2 linked regions of the Stegostoma tigrinum genome follow. The protein of the gene in region 1 interacts with the protein of each later gene in a pairwise test. Links are inferred from orthologs where the notes say so. Each region holds a gene or a part of one and is shown on either strand. Other genes may lie near its edges.

Region 1 (7,302 bases):
CTCAGCAGGTCTGACAGCATGTGTGGAGAGAAATCGGAGTTAATGTTTCGGGTCCAGTGAATCTTCAGAAGTTATTTCTAAACGGTGAGATTATTTCAGCGTCTCGCTGCATGCGATAAAATCAGTCTGAAGTATTGTGTAGGAAAGGAAGGCCTGGAACATGTCACAACTTTTTGTTTTAGCAATCATAACAACACGTATTTCACAGAGAAAATGTTGGACACACTGAATAGGTGGTTGGCATTTTGAAGAGAATATGTTTGTTATTGTAAAATAAAACAAAAATAAAACAGATGTGTTAGTGTTTCGGGTGTACGCCCTTCATCAAAACGCAGTGTAACTCCTGGAGTTACAGATGCTGCAGATCTGCAGAATGTTGCAATCAACAGGCAACTTCAATTAATCTGAACCAAGTCTACACTGATGTCCGCGTTCAGATTTACGCCTCCTGTTTACGGTGATCTGTTGAAAATGAGAAGTTTCAATCCTTTATCCACCCCTCCAAATGACCTCCTGTCGCCGAATCCCCTGAAACTATCTGAACTCTAATAATGCGGAGATCTGGAGGCTCAGTAACTGGGGCCCGGTCGGTTTCCCCGTCAGGAGTTCTAAGTTAAAGGGCCTTTCGGAACACCCGGGGCCCGGCATTTTTCTAAGTATCAGACCGATGAAGATTAAGTGAAATCTCTTGAAAGCTTGGTGAGGAGATTGTAAGGACATCAGTCTAGCGGCATCTGGTTCCCGTTACTTGAGTTGTGCCATCTTCTGAAATCTGAATCGTTGTGTTGAACGCGCAGTGTTTTCTGTCAGATCCCCGATCCTGAAACCGGGTGCCAGCAAACTGAATATACAAATCCCTTCAGCCTCTTGTTCCGATGAAGAGTCAGATTGGACTCCAGATGTTAATATTTGTTTCTCTTTGCCCAGGTATCGCCAGATCCGCTGAGTTTGTCTGGCATTTGCTATTTGCATGTCGGATCTCCAGCATCAACAATGCTGTGCTTTTGTAACTGTACCAATTATTTGGCTTTCGCCTTCCCACCCCACATTTTTATATCTTAGATAAATAAGTAGCTGTCAAGAATTTTGCCTCGAATTATTTCAAGTTTTATTTTTGTTTGCATTCTCAAAAGCATGGTGCCAAGTATCTCGATCATGAACTGAAGGGAAAGAATTCCATGTTTGGAGTTCGGGGGGGAAAATGTTTGCAGGTCGCACGCTGTGCCAGAAATTAAAGCGAGTTTTGCAAAATGTAGCCGCTATCACTTTATTTCCCAAATGGAGAGGCAGGGACAAAGTCCATTTTAGACAAGTTGATTCGCTTTCAAAACAAAAACAAACAGAACGATCCGCAGGTGCTGTGAATCAGAAACAGGTCTAGGGGAGGAAAGGTCACCGGACCCGAAACGTTAACTCTGATTTCTCCTCACAGATGCTGCCAGACCTGCTGAGCTTTTCCAGCAATTTCTGTTTCGGTCCCTTTTAAAATACACAGTGAGCATGTCATTAAGAGAGGACCCAATGAGTACGTTATTCGGGTAGAGTTCACGTTTCAGCTCACTTCTGCCCAGTTGATAAAAAAAATCTCTTCACCATGCTTCTAGACTGAGTATTTTCACCATTTATTTTGTTTTCTTTCATACTTTCAACTTCGGCGGTTTTTCATTTCTGTTGTCGTGTTTTACATTTTGTTAAATGCGGGCCAACCACTCCAGCGTGTTATACGACCAGGGTAACATCTATCACAGCAAACTCATACTGAAGGGCAAATTTGGCACTGTACAGCAGCTTTTGACTCGTTCCACAATCCCTCGTCCGAGGTTAAAAAAACTCTGATTTTACCTGAAAAGCGCAGTATCACAACATTCAGGACGGAAAAATTCGCTCCTAGACAGTGAATGACTCCAAAATCCACTGCACATCAACATTATCGCAGAAATCAGTAACCCCCTTATTAAAATAAAAGTTTTTATGAAGCTATCACCAAAGTGACATTCAGCTGAGTTCAGCTCTTGCGGTGAGGATCTTGCTCCGGATGGGAACATGTGAGGAACAGAGTCCCTGATTCAGCACGTTTGATGTTATTTCACTCAAAACACTATGACATGTACTTGTCTCAACAAAGAACAGCTCTCGAACACTGAGGGAGCCTTTCAGCTGGAGGGATTTGAAGAAACTTGATTTCATTTATTTTTCAATAAAATTCTCAAATTACCAGTAGCGCCAAACGGGGTTCAGGAACAGTTTAGAATTTGCCAGCGATCTCGTTACTTATTGATTCCTAACTGCGGAAAAGAGGCTGTTCGGCCCTTCCACTGTGTGAGATTGTTCTGAAATAGTGCCGCAATTACCTGTAAGGAGATGGAGACTGTTTAAAAGTTGGTTGTGTTGAAGATGATATTGATCCCAGTCTTTTTCACTATTGTATAGAGGTGCCGTTTTCATTGTCGATGGACACACTCTCAGAGGGGAGGCACTTCTCTGGAATACACTATTTTGCTGTCCCGAGTTTCCGAAATTAATTGAGCCCCGACTGATTTGCGTGAAACATTGCGCAATGAGATGCCTGGGTGACAATTCCTGGTCACATCTGTGGAACGGAGACAGAAATCCGCCGAAACTTCGCTGGTGCCTCGCCGTACAACCTGAACCGCTCCGGCAGGAAGCTCAACTACCACCTAATCAGCTCCAGTCGTTGAAGATGTTCGGAGTCTCTAAGAAAATGTGTACAAATCGATGTCTGCGAAAAGCAACACAGGGCTTCCTTTCTAAGAAACGAGCGATAGCACAAATCACGTTACATTCGTGCCAACAATAAACTTTCTGACATTCGTCTCAAACGAGTTTCTTTTCAATTTCTGCTTTTGTTTCGGGAAAATCAAATTGTTTACAGAAATGATTAGTTGCTAGCATTCAGATTTGTTTTGCAATTTTACCAATAACAAATATCTTTATTTTCGCCCAATGGTTTGTCAATGAAGGAAAACATCGTTTCACATCGACAACTTTTAACCACAGGATTGGTAACACTCGGACAAGCGATGTGATTCCAGGAAAACACAGCTCCAACTTAATTCTGTCCTTCGATGGGAATATCAAGGCAGAAGCGATTTTTCACGCGTTTTCATCCACTGGGAGCCTTCTGTTATATAATTCCCGGCCATCCCCCTTCCCCTTCTGGTTTAAACATTTGAATTGACTACGGACGCTGACAAACTCCTTAATATTAATTCTGGCGACGAATTTTCGAAGAATTATTTTGAGGGACCTTTTTTCTGGTTGGGAGGTGGTGGGGATTTGCATGACTAATTAGATTTCACATTAGGTTTCAAAAGAATTTTACTCTGTTTAAATCCATTTTGTCTATTTCTTAGATGATCTGTTTTTTAAAGGATTTCTCTCCGTTTTGACTCTGTTTCAGATTTAACAGAAAAGGAGCACGGGAAAGGGCAGCTAATCCCGGGAATTAAATGCGATTATTGAACAGGATTTTTTTTCTATTAACAAATGAAAACATTCACTTGCAAATCAAAACGTCCATCATGAGGACGGAGTAACTGATAGACAGGAAGATCGATTGGGGAAGGGAAGTGTCCGGCGTATTTTGTTTCACAAGTTTCTTTTTAACCCTAACCCAAACACCTAAACGTGACTTCATCGGTTAGGAATTTATTCTGTCATCTGAAGATGTGCGGTTGTGTTTGCTTTGAGGACTCTGATGAGAGGATCAATCGTTCCCTTTCGCTCTCATTGTTCGCTGCTTTGCGGGACGCCTTGCTTTTGGGCTGAGTTGTACAGACGGCTCTAGTGGCACTGACTGACAGACACAGGTTCACTACCCCCTAAGTTGCGGCACGTTAGAGACATCTGACACCCCAGAGCTCCTAGAGGTTTTTTTTGTGGGGGGGTGGGAGGAATAGTTTGCTCCCACATCCACCTCACCCCCCCCCCCCCCAAACACACCTACCCACTTCCATTTCTTCAGCATCACCCGTCATCTGCAAACACACAATTCTCACATCGACAATAGCAGGTCACAGCTATACGCAATAAGGAATAAAGCCTGCCCTTAAACTGGTACAAAACCTTGTTTCTCTTTCTCTGCGCCTGCGAATTTCCGGTCATTAATTGCCATGATTTATAGGGCTGATGTTTTTTTGGAGGTAGCTTCGCATGTGGCTGGGACCTTGCCTTAGATCCAGCCCCCCTCTCACATTACAAACTATTTATATATCTTCCACGATTTCCCCCTGAAAGCAGCTCCCTGGGACAACGTGCGATTGGCTCCACTTGTCACCCGAAAATTAGCTCTGCTTGTGTGTGTCAGTGTGTGTGTGTGTGTGTGTGTTTGTGTGTGTGCCTGTTTATTCAAAGGGCTCCCGGCTGTTAAACAGCGATTGATCCAGATCTCTTTTAAAGAACCCTGCTTTCCTGGAAGCTGTTTACTTTGAAATCGAAGGTGCTTTGGATATAATTCCAGCCGCTTGGAATCTGAAACCCCGCTCCCATGGATCATACAATATTTAGCTGCCTGCGCGGCTCACATGCTCCAGCGCAGAGCCTGCACCACTTCTCTCAGTCTCCACTAGCTCTCCATGGAAGATCAGACCATGTGGCTTTTCCAGACCTGTCTTCTTCTTCTTGTATCATAACGGGATTTCCTAATGAAGAAAGCATGTTTACAGCTCAGCGTCATCATCATCACCTACATCATCACCACCGAGGTCATCCCCAGCAGCAACCCCAGGCACCGGGCGCTGGCCAGGCAACATGGCACATCCCTCAGATCTCCTCACCCCCTCCCCTGGCGCGGAACACACTCTGTCTCCAGTCGGAATCCGGGGGCCCGGAACTGGGCTCCAGCCTGGCGGACAGCAGTCCCAGCTTGAACCCCAATAACCCGCTGTCCTGTGTGTCGGGGGATTACGGGAGGCCGGCGGTCACTCCAGTGGAGACAGAGAAAAGGAATTCCAAAAGGAAAAGTGACGGCTCAGGTAAGCGACCCGGCTTCAGTCGTTTCTGAGCAGCGGACGCAACCAACTATTTCGCGCATCAACTTTGTGCAGATTCAAGCTGTACTCAAATTGTTCAAAATCACTCCAAATTGACTGGCGTAAACTGATGTAACAAACCTGGCGTTGGTCTGATTCATTCGTTCAGTTAACGCTCACCTTCAAAAACAGACATCTATATTTCCCCATAGCCCTTAACTGATTGGTTCTGGGCTGCTCTTGCTTTTTTTTTGTTTTGCAACCTCCAAACACTTTTGTTAAAAGAAGGCAGAGTTTTAACCCGATTCTTGGTCACATCCCATATGAAACCGGGAGCCGTCAAAATTCAGTCACGGGCCAATACTGAATGGCAAATCATTAAGGGTACTTTAAATGGTAAGGAATTGCCATCAGCGTTCCATTGCAATGCCGCTGTCTGAAATTATGGAATAAATGCTGGACAAGAAAACATCGACATCGAACGCAATCATATTTCACATATTTATCTTTTAAATCCAATTACAATGAAGCACCGAATACGTGATCGCCTGTAAATTCATATCTCTCTCCAATAGTCTCCATCTAAAACAAAACAGTTCTGTGAAATTCTTTCCTAACACATTCCACTGATTAAACGGCTTTGATTTTTATAGTTTCCATATAGTTCGGAATATTTTCCCCTTTCCATCTCTCTTCTTGTGTCTCGACATCGAGTTTACTGACTCGCGTTGCCCTCATTTTGCATCCCGCAGACTTTAAATTGTGTATTTGGTAGGCTTTGCTGTCGTTAGCTGCTCTAAGAAATTAAAACAATAAATTGTTCAAGCAATGGGTAAGTGTAAGTAATAGAATATGTCTCGTGCTATTCAAAAAAAGTTAGAAACCAGAACTGCATTGCAGTAGAGGCTCGATTCCTCGACAAAAGCGCATTGTATACATTGCATCCGACTTGAAGCCAATAAATAGTTTACGTCAAGATCTATGTTAAAAAGCCTTTCGATAGTTTAGTGGAAAGCTCAAACATTCTGCAGCTAAAATGGAGAGTCCCTTTTTAAAAATTATTTTCGTTTTAAATTCAAAGAGATTGAACCTAACGCTGTATGACATTTCTACTTGACGAAAGCATCGTCTTCCCCCGAAGATTTATGCTAAAATATACTTTGCGACAATAAATCTTTTGTCGGTTAATGGGCTGCATTTCCTCTGATTCACACATACATCACCAAACCTTACGAAAATAAAGCATAGGCAGGAAATAGAAAAGTCCTTTTCAGTTTCACTACAAAGTCTGAAAGTTTAAACTGCAAAGAACCAGACTCCGTATTACTGTTTTTACACCTGCTGCCAGCACCATTTCAGTCCTTCGATTATTTATGTTCATTTCGTGGTGTAAACAAAGATGCAAGTCCTTACTGAGTCACACAGAAAACGTTTTACTCTCAGAGATCGCTTCTAGTCAGGGCGCACGCCCTGGTGAACCGGTTTCGGGAGATAGCTCAGAACTCGCCGTACAAAATAACATTGTAACCTTTATGAAGTGGGAACTGTAAGTAGTGAATTAATGTTCCGTGGAATAGACTAAAGTACAAAAGGCAAGTCCCGTTTTAAGAAATCCAGATATGTGATTTATGTAGAAATTTCTCAGCTAAAGTATCTTCTCCTCACTCTACCAGAAAACATATTAAAAAAATACAGACCAACCTTTTTAAAGATGTTTCTTTCTAATAGCACTTTCATAATAAAGCCCTAGTGATTATAAAACACAAAGTAAGTATAATGCTATATAAGACGATTTGAAATCTTATTTTTTATATCAGGAACTGTTTTCAAAGGTTGCAAAAATCCATTTTCTGTGTTACTTGTAGAAACTTAAATCAAATAGTTAACTGTCATATTGAACGGTGAACAATAAAATTAAACATGAATTTCAACCCTTTATGATATAAATTATATACTTATGCAGAGAGAGAATTTTTTAGAGTATCTGCAAAATGTTATGAAAAAAATAACCTCAATTGCCTCAAATGAGGATGATAGAATTGTTCTCTATTAATATATGTGCAAACTAGTTATACTCAGTCTGCATTATGAGAAAGGAAATCATATTTAACCAGTTCATTGGAATTCTTTGAGCTGTGACTAAAGCGGTACCAGTATTGAACATAGATTTCGAGAAGGTTATTGATAAGGTGGCACATCAATAATTGCAAAAAAAAAGTTAATGCTGCAGAGGGTAACATATTGGCTTGCACAGCAGATTGACTAATCAACACGAAACAGAGAAAAGGCATAAAAAATTCATTTTCCATTT
Region 2 (7,184 bases), on another chromosome or scaffold:
AAAATGGCTGTGCCATTTTCTACATCGCAATGCGACTGTTCCAAAATGTTTCCATAAACCATAAAGCACTTTGGGACATCCTGCGGTTGTGAAAAGCTGCTATGTAAATGTAGTGGTCCCACATTTTTTCTTCCACTGCCAAAAAAACTATGAAAACTACATTTGTGCCTCAATTTTGCTGGACTCAGTTAGCCAGTTTAGCCTAAAAAAATGACTATTACTAATAATAAAAACATTCCATCTTATTACACTTTTGCTACAATTACCAAATGAATGGGGACATTCTACAAAATCCTTAATGAAGTCAAAACATAAAGATCTGTTTTCCAATGTTGCTCAATATAAAGAAAGTAGGAAGGCAGATAAAATGTATAGTGGGATGGGCCAACTGCCTTCCTCTTTTCCCAGTGATGGAAATGAAACATGCATCCCAACAGCCTGACCTTCCATTGGGCTAATGGAGGAGCCAAAAACAGAGAGCTTGGCGTTCACTTTATTTATGTGGAGGTTGAATTTGACAAAATGGAATAAGCAATAAAGGTAAAGGATAGGGACGTCAGGATGAAACCCAGTGATACACCACAGATAGTCACGTGAACATACGAAAAGGAAACCATTGAAGGTGATTTGGGCTAATATTTCTTCAGTGTATAAGTCAGCACAGCTTCTACAAAATATGATTTGTCACCCTAGATAATGTACTTAAATCCTGGACTGAGACTTGAATGCAGCCTTTTAATTCAGAGGGAAGGTATTAAGCTGAATGTGCACATAGAAATGTATTTTCATTTGAAGTCATCAAAAGATATCAAATTAAATAAATATCATTTATTGACTATGCCCTAAAGCTCTATTAGGCTGCTAGCAAAGTGTAAGAGGCGTTTAGACAGAAACATGAGCAGGTAGGGTATAAGAGAGATTCAGACTGTGTGCAGGCAGATAGAATTGGTTTGGAATGGCATTGTGGTTGGCACAAAGTGGTCTGAATGGCCTGTTCCTTGGCTTTACTGATCAATGGGCTGAAGGGGCTGTTCTTTTGCTTTACTGTTCTATGTTCTATATACAAAGGATTAAAAATGTTCAGTGGTAGTAACAGACATTCAGATAAGTTTTTTGCAGGAAGCAAAGGACAATTTATTTCCCAATGTTAGGATTTTTCTGGCCCCTGCATGCTTGCAGACCTTTTTTCAATCAATCTATTCAGACATGTTACACCTCCGGAACAGGTGGGATTTGAACTTGGGCTTCTAGCTCAGAGTTAAGGAACTTAGAACTGCACCACAAGAGTGCCTTTTTCATGTCTGTAATGTTGTCAATGTTGTGTCAACTTTTTTAAACAGAGCTGTCAAATAACCTCCATCAAACTCATTCAGACAGAGGATCTTATGGTTAAGCATTGGGTTATTTTCAGTCTAGCACCAGAACAGAAGTTCATATCTTTGTGTCTTGATACTTCCTCTCTCAGTACACCTGAGGAAGGACCAATGCTCCAAAATCTAGTGTTTTCATGTAAACTTATTGGATGATAACCTGGTGTTGAGTGATTTTTGACATCAGTCAATCTGTGATAATATCATTTCAGCTACTTATTCTCTGGTTATGCAGTAATCTATTGGACACACACAATATAAACATGTCCACATTGTATTAATATAGAAGGACCCTCCCGTTTCTTCCAGTACACTATTTTGCATGTGCCTATATATTCAATAACACTTCCGCAAAGTATGCCCTAACAGTGGCACAGAGGTAAGCAGACACTGGGCACAGGAGTTGGCACTCCTGCTTCTTTTATCTCAGCAGGAAGGTTTCTTTTTAAAAAACTAATCTTTAGTTGCTTAATTGTTGAAGCAAAATTGTGCACACTCAGAAATGAGCAACTTCTTTGAGAGAGAAAGAAGGTGGTACTAGGCACTCATTTAATTAAGGCACTTTAAAATCCTTTAGAAAAGAAAATCATACGTAGTTCAGTACAGAAGCACAGGAGTATAGTAAAAAGTTTTAACAATGGCTGCCTTCAATGTCACCTTCTTAGGTAGGAGCACCTAGGTTCAAATCTTGGATACAAAAGAAGAATAAAAATAAAAGTAGTGGCAGTTAATCTTTTAATTACTTAGTGCTGGTGATGGACATCGTGTGGGCGGCATGTTGGTTAGCACTGCTGTCTCACAGCGCTAGGGACACAGATTCAATCCCATCCTCAGGTGATTGTCTACGTGGGTTTCCACTGTGTGCTCCAGTTTCCTCCCACAGTCCAAAGATGTGCAGGTTAGGGTAAATTGGCCATGCTAAATTTCCTCTAGTGTTCAGGGATGTGTAGATTAGGTGGGTTATAGGGGGATGGATTTGGGTGAGTGCTCTGAGAGTCGGTGTGGACTTGTTGGGCCGAAGAGCCTGTTTCCACACTGTAGGGATTCTATGATATCAAAATAAGTTCTGAATGTACATGTGCTAACAATGGCTAACCAATGCCAACATATTTACAAAGTTGGTGTGGGGCAGGGTGAAAGAATGGGATGCTAAATCTTAGATAAATCTCATCAAATCTGAGATTATGGCCATAGGTCATTGTACAGCTCATTCATTAACAATTAGATAATTTCAGACCTTTACAGGACACACAGTCTATACACACTGTTAGGGATGACCAGATGAGGGGAGATAGATATACCATGGATATTCAGCCATGGACTCTGGAAGAAATTATCTCTGGATCATGAGAGTGAATGCTATCGAGAAAACTGAAGAAATAGGGTAACATGAGCCTGTGGTGCAGTGCAGGTAACGGGCAGAGTGGGGAGTAAGTACAATGTATAAAAAGTTATTACCCACCTCCAATTGCAGACCGCATGAGCTGGAGGCAAGGCTGCTGAGGAAAATTGTGGGACTACCTGGATACCAGGAAAGTAGCATTTAGAAATGAGGTCATCTCTCAGATTTTAGACACAATGACACTGAGAAGATTAATTCTCCACAGGAACACCAGAACCCCGGTGATTAACCTAACAGAGCAGAGATGAGCAAGAAGGTCACAGATGATCCTGTTCTCAATATTGGGTCAACCTTCAAAGATGGAGCTACCTCAACATGACCAACAACTAGTGCAGCATGAGACTGGGACTCTGTAGGCAAACGATCATAGACACCCATGTCTTCATTATAGAGGACCTCACATTGACCACCATGACCTACTTTGCAGTCAAATTCATCATAGCCTTCTACTTCTTTACCTCTAGTTACTTTTAAGATCAACCTGCCCACTAATACATCTCACAGGTCACTGATACCCTAGCTGATAAATCTAAACATTATGTTCAGTTCATGATAAATGAAGCCTCACAGGCACAGAGTGCATTGAGTTTGCCAACATCATCAGCTTTTCCTCCATCCAGGCACCCTGTGGTTGCTTGGTGCAACTGATCAACACATACTCCCTCAACGTCCAGCTAATCTGACCGCAACAAGATCGTCTTCCATGTTTACATTTGTTCACCTGGAGATTATCGTAACATCTTTATCAATGATTTGTCCAAGGTTGCTGCAGATCATTGTGGGTGGATCCTCGAGACAAGAGATGCCTCTCAAAGAAATGGCTCTTTTGCCCCTTAGATAATTCTCAGACAGAGGCAATATAAACAAAACAATCTGCTCATCAGGAAAAACAAATCAACGTGCATTTGAATTCCTGAAAATGAGGCTGTAATTCTGGCCAAGTCAGGTTGTCCAAAGCCAATTGATTTTCACAGGTTAGCCATCCATTTATTAATGGCTTCAAATGTTTCCAGGTGATTCACCAGATCATTTGGGAACATGTAAAATATAATGGACAATATTTTTAGCTGTGCACACAGTAGCAAACGTAAAACTTTTTTTTGGCAGCTGATTAGAGTTTTGCCTATGCACATCATGTACATGTTGTATATCCTTGGTGCCATTAGTCACATGGAGCTCAGTCGAATGACCATACACTACTCCTCTCAGATCAGCAGCTGCTGTCTACCTATAGCCTGAGAGCACAGAGGATGTGAAAGGCTGAAAGTAGACACTTTCCACCAATAGCTGGAAGAAATCTGATAACTCTTGCTTCGTATCCCTGACAAATCTATTGGCAAGGACCATAAAATGTTGGTATTTACTAGGGACAGAAGTGCGATAAAGCACATTCGTCCATTAAGAAACGAGCTGTGCACTTCCCATAGGAAAAAGTGCGTAATGCAATATTAATTCATATCGAAAGAGAAGAACGTCTTTAAAAAATGACCTTTGACAGCATGAAGAAAAACCACTGTGAGTTAGAAATTACTGTGGTACAATGTGATAATTTCAAGTAATGTTTGCTTTTCAGTTCCAGAGTGGATCATGGAAAGTTCCTTTAAATTGTGTTTTTTTTTAGCAAATGGCAATACTGGATGATGAGTAAGATATCTTTCTTCAGGAATTGCATGGAATCAGTATTTAAGTTATTGCTGCCATAAAATAATTGGATTTTCTGGTACATTCTTCATGTTGAAGAAATATGGGAAACAGGATAACAGCAACAAATTCAGTTAATTAATTGCAATCCAGATTTAAAATGGACAAAAATGGGAGAATTTGAAGAGGGTGTTTGGTATGCTTGCCTTTATTGGTCAGTGCATTGAGTATAGGAGTTGGGAGGTCATGTTACGGCCGTACAGGACATTGGTGAGTCCACTATTAGAATTCTGTGTGCAGTTCTGTTCTCCCTGCCATTGAAAAAATGTTATGAAACTTGAAGAACTTGAAGGAATTTTGCCAGGGATGGTGGATTTGAGCTATAGGGAGAAGCTCAATAGGCTGGGGTTATTTTGCTTGGAGTGTTGGAGGCTGAGGTGTAACTTTATAGAAGGTTATAAAATCTTGAGGGACATGAATAGGGTGAATACCCCAAAGTCTTTTTCATAGGGTGGGGGAATCCAAAACTAGAGAGCATAGGTTTAAGGTGAGGGGAGAAAGATCTAAAAGGGACAACAGGAACAAATTTTTCAAGCAGTATGTCGAATGAGCTGCTAGAGGAAGTGGTAGAGGCTGGTACAATTACAACATTTAAAAAGTATCTGGATGGCAATATGATTATGAAGGGTTTGGAAGGATATGGGCCAAAAGCTGGCAAATGGGACTGGATCAGTTTAGGATATTTGGTTGGTGTGGATGAGTTGGACTGAAGGGACTGTTTACATGCTGTATAACTCTACAACTCTATAATTGGGCATGAGACTGAAAGCTACAACGAAAAATTTAATAGTATATCCCTGTTGCTCAACCAGTTTATTGTCATGAAGTAATTCATAAAAGATTAGTTGCACTGACCGCCAATTATAATAAAATTTTACCCCTCCTGGAAAGTGTTTATTTTCCTTAAGTTTCCATCCGAATCATTTCCACATCATCAAACGCGGAGTCTGTTGAGAGTGATATCTTGGGAGTTTACTGAAGGAACTGCGGGTGAGAGGTCGGACCCAGCTGAGGGCCCTGTCAATTGTGATACCATGCCTACTTCTTTTGATAAGAGTCCTCTCCCCATCCCACAGGCTTTTTTGCCTACCTCCAATACTCTCCCTCCCCTGAACCCCTACCTCAGGCCATTTAATGCACTTGACCTGTTCATTAAGAACTGTCAACATGACATTGGTAACCTCAATTTCTCTGCCCTCACCTCCCTCACACATTCCAACCTATCCTCTCAGGAAATGACTCCACTCTGTAGTTTCAGATCTAACCCTGATTTTGTAATTAAGTCCGCCAACAAGGGGTGGCACTGTTGTTATTTAGTAGACTGACCAGTACTTCGCAAAGGCTGAGCACCAGCTCTCAAATACCTCCTCCTTTCACTCCTGGACCATGATCCCACCATGGAACCTCAGGTGACCTTGTTTAATTGGTCACTAAATTCATTTCATCTGGAGATCTCCTTTCCACTGCCTCATAGCTTCTAGTCCTCCAACCTCACACATCTTCCTTCCACCTCTTTCCCACATTCCACAAACAGGACTGTAGGGCAGACGCATTGTTTCTGCCTGCTCCTGCCCCACTGTTTCCATCTCTACCTACCTCAACTCAATGTTTTCTTCCCCTTGCCCATCCTCTTTCCACTTACATCTGGGATTCCTCTAATGCTCCACGTCAGTCTCAGAATTTCCAGTTTGTGAGCTCCAGCTGGCTCCTCTTTACCATGGACATGCAGTCCCTTTATACATCCACTACTCCCTTCCCTTCCTCAACATCTGTTTCTAGTTACAGGGACAGACTGGCCACCAATACCACTACAAACCCACTGACTCCCATAGATACCTTGACTATACATCCTCACGCCCTGTTTCCCGTAAAGACTCTATTTTATTCTCCCAGTGCCTCCGTCTCCATCGCATCTGTTCTGATGATGCCAACTTTGAAAAGGCGAGCATTTAAAATGCCCACCTTCTTCCCCAGCCAAGGATTTCCAAACACCACTGTTGACCTCAATCGAGTCTGACCCATCTCCTACAATTTTGTCGTCACCCCCACCCTTCCCTCCACAACAGTGATAGACTCCCTCTTGTCCTCATCTACATCCCACCTGCATCCACATCCAGAGGATCATTAGCCACCATTTCTTATTCTACATAGGTTGGTTCAATGCCTGGAGGAGGACTTATAGATGATGTTGTTTCCAAGCTTCTGCTACCCTTATGCTTTTAGGTGGTAATAGTCGTGTATTTGGAAGATGGAGGAAGCTTGGTGAGTTGCTACAGTGTTTCAGGTAGATGGTATACACTCCTCTCACTGAGCTTTAATAGAGAGGAATGAATGCTTAAGGTTGTAGATGCAATCCAAATTTAACTGGCTGTTTTCTTTGGGATAATGTGGAGCTTCATGAGTGTTATTGGGGCTGCAATAAATCAGGCAAATGGAAAGTATTCCATTGCACTCCTGGCTTATAGATGGTAAACAGGTTTTCGAATCTTTGGCTTTAGAGATGAGTTACTTCCTACAAAATTCCTAGCTTCTGACATGCTCTTGTAACCGTAGCATTTATAAAGCCGATCCAGTTCATTTTCAGGTTGATGAGAACCCTCAAGATGTTAATAACAACATTCAATGTGAGATGGTTAGATTGTCTTTTGGTTATTTTGGTCATTGTCTGATACTTGCATGGCATGAACATTACTTGCTACATGTTAGCCTAA

Evidence for each region. The genes of interacting proteins can lie anywhere in the genome.
Region 2: the proteins of meox2a (region 1) and immunoglobulin-like and fibronectin type III domain-containing protein 1 interact in binary tests that used the Homo sapiens proteins (3 or more experiments, as listed by UniProt). The two-hybrid records come from large-scale screens. The link is inferred for Stegostoma tigrinum from reciprocal best matches to the Homo sapiens genes MEOX2 and IGFN1.

What each region holds. Positions count from the first base shown.
Region 1 is NC_081355.1:69,823,553-69,830,854, reverse strand, and holds the start of meox2a (homeobox protein MOX-2), read left to right. Parts: upstream 1-4,280; 5' UTR 4,281-4,507; coding exon 4,508-4,994; intron 4,995-7,302. UniProt on the Homo sapiens protein: Mesodermal transcription factor that plays a key role in somitogenesis and somitogenesis and limb muscle differentiation. Required during limb development for normal appendicular muscle formation and for the normal regulation of myogenic genes.
Region 2 is NC_081374.1:31,691,415-31,698,598, forward strand, and holds the start of immunoglobulin-like and fibronectin type III domain-containing protein 1, read left to right. Parts: upstream 1-4,174; 5' UTR 4,175-4,287; intron 4,288-7,184.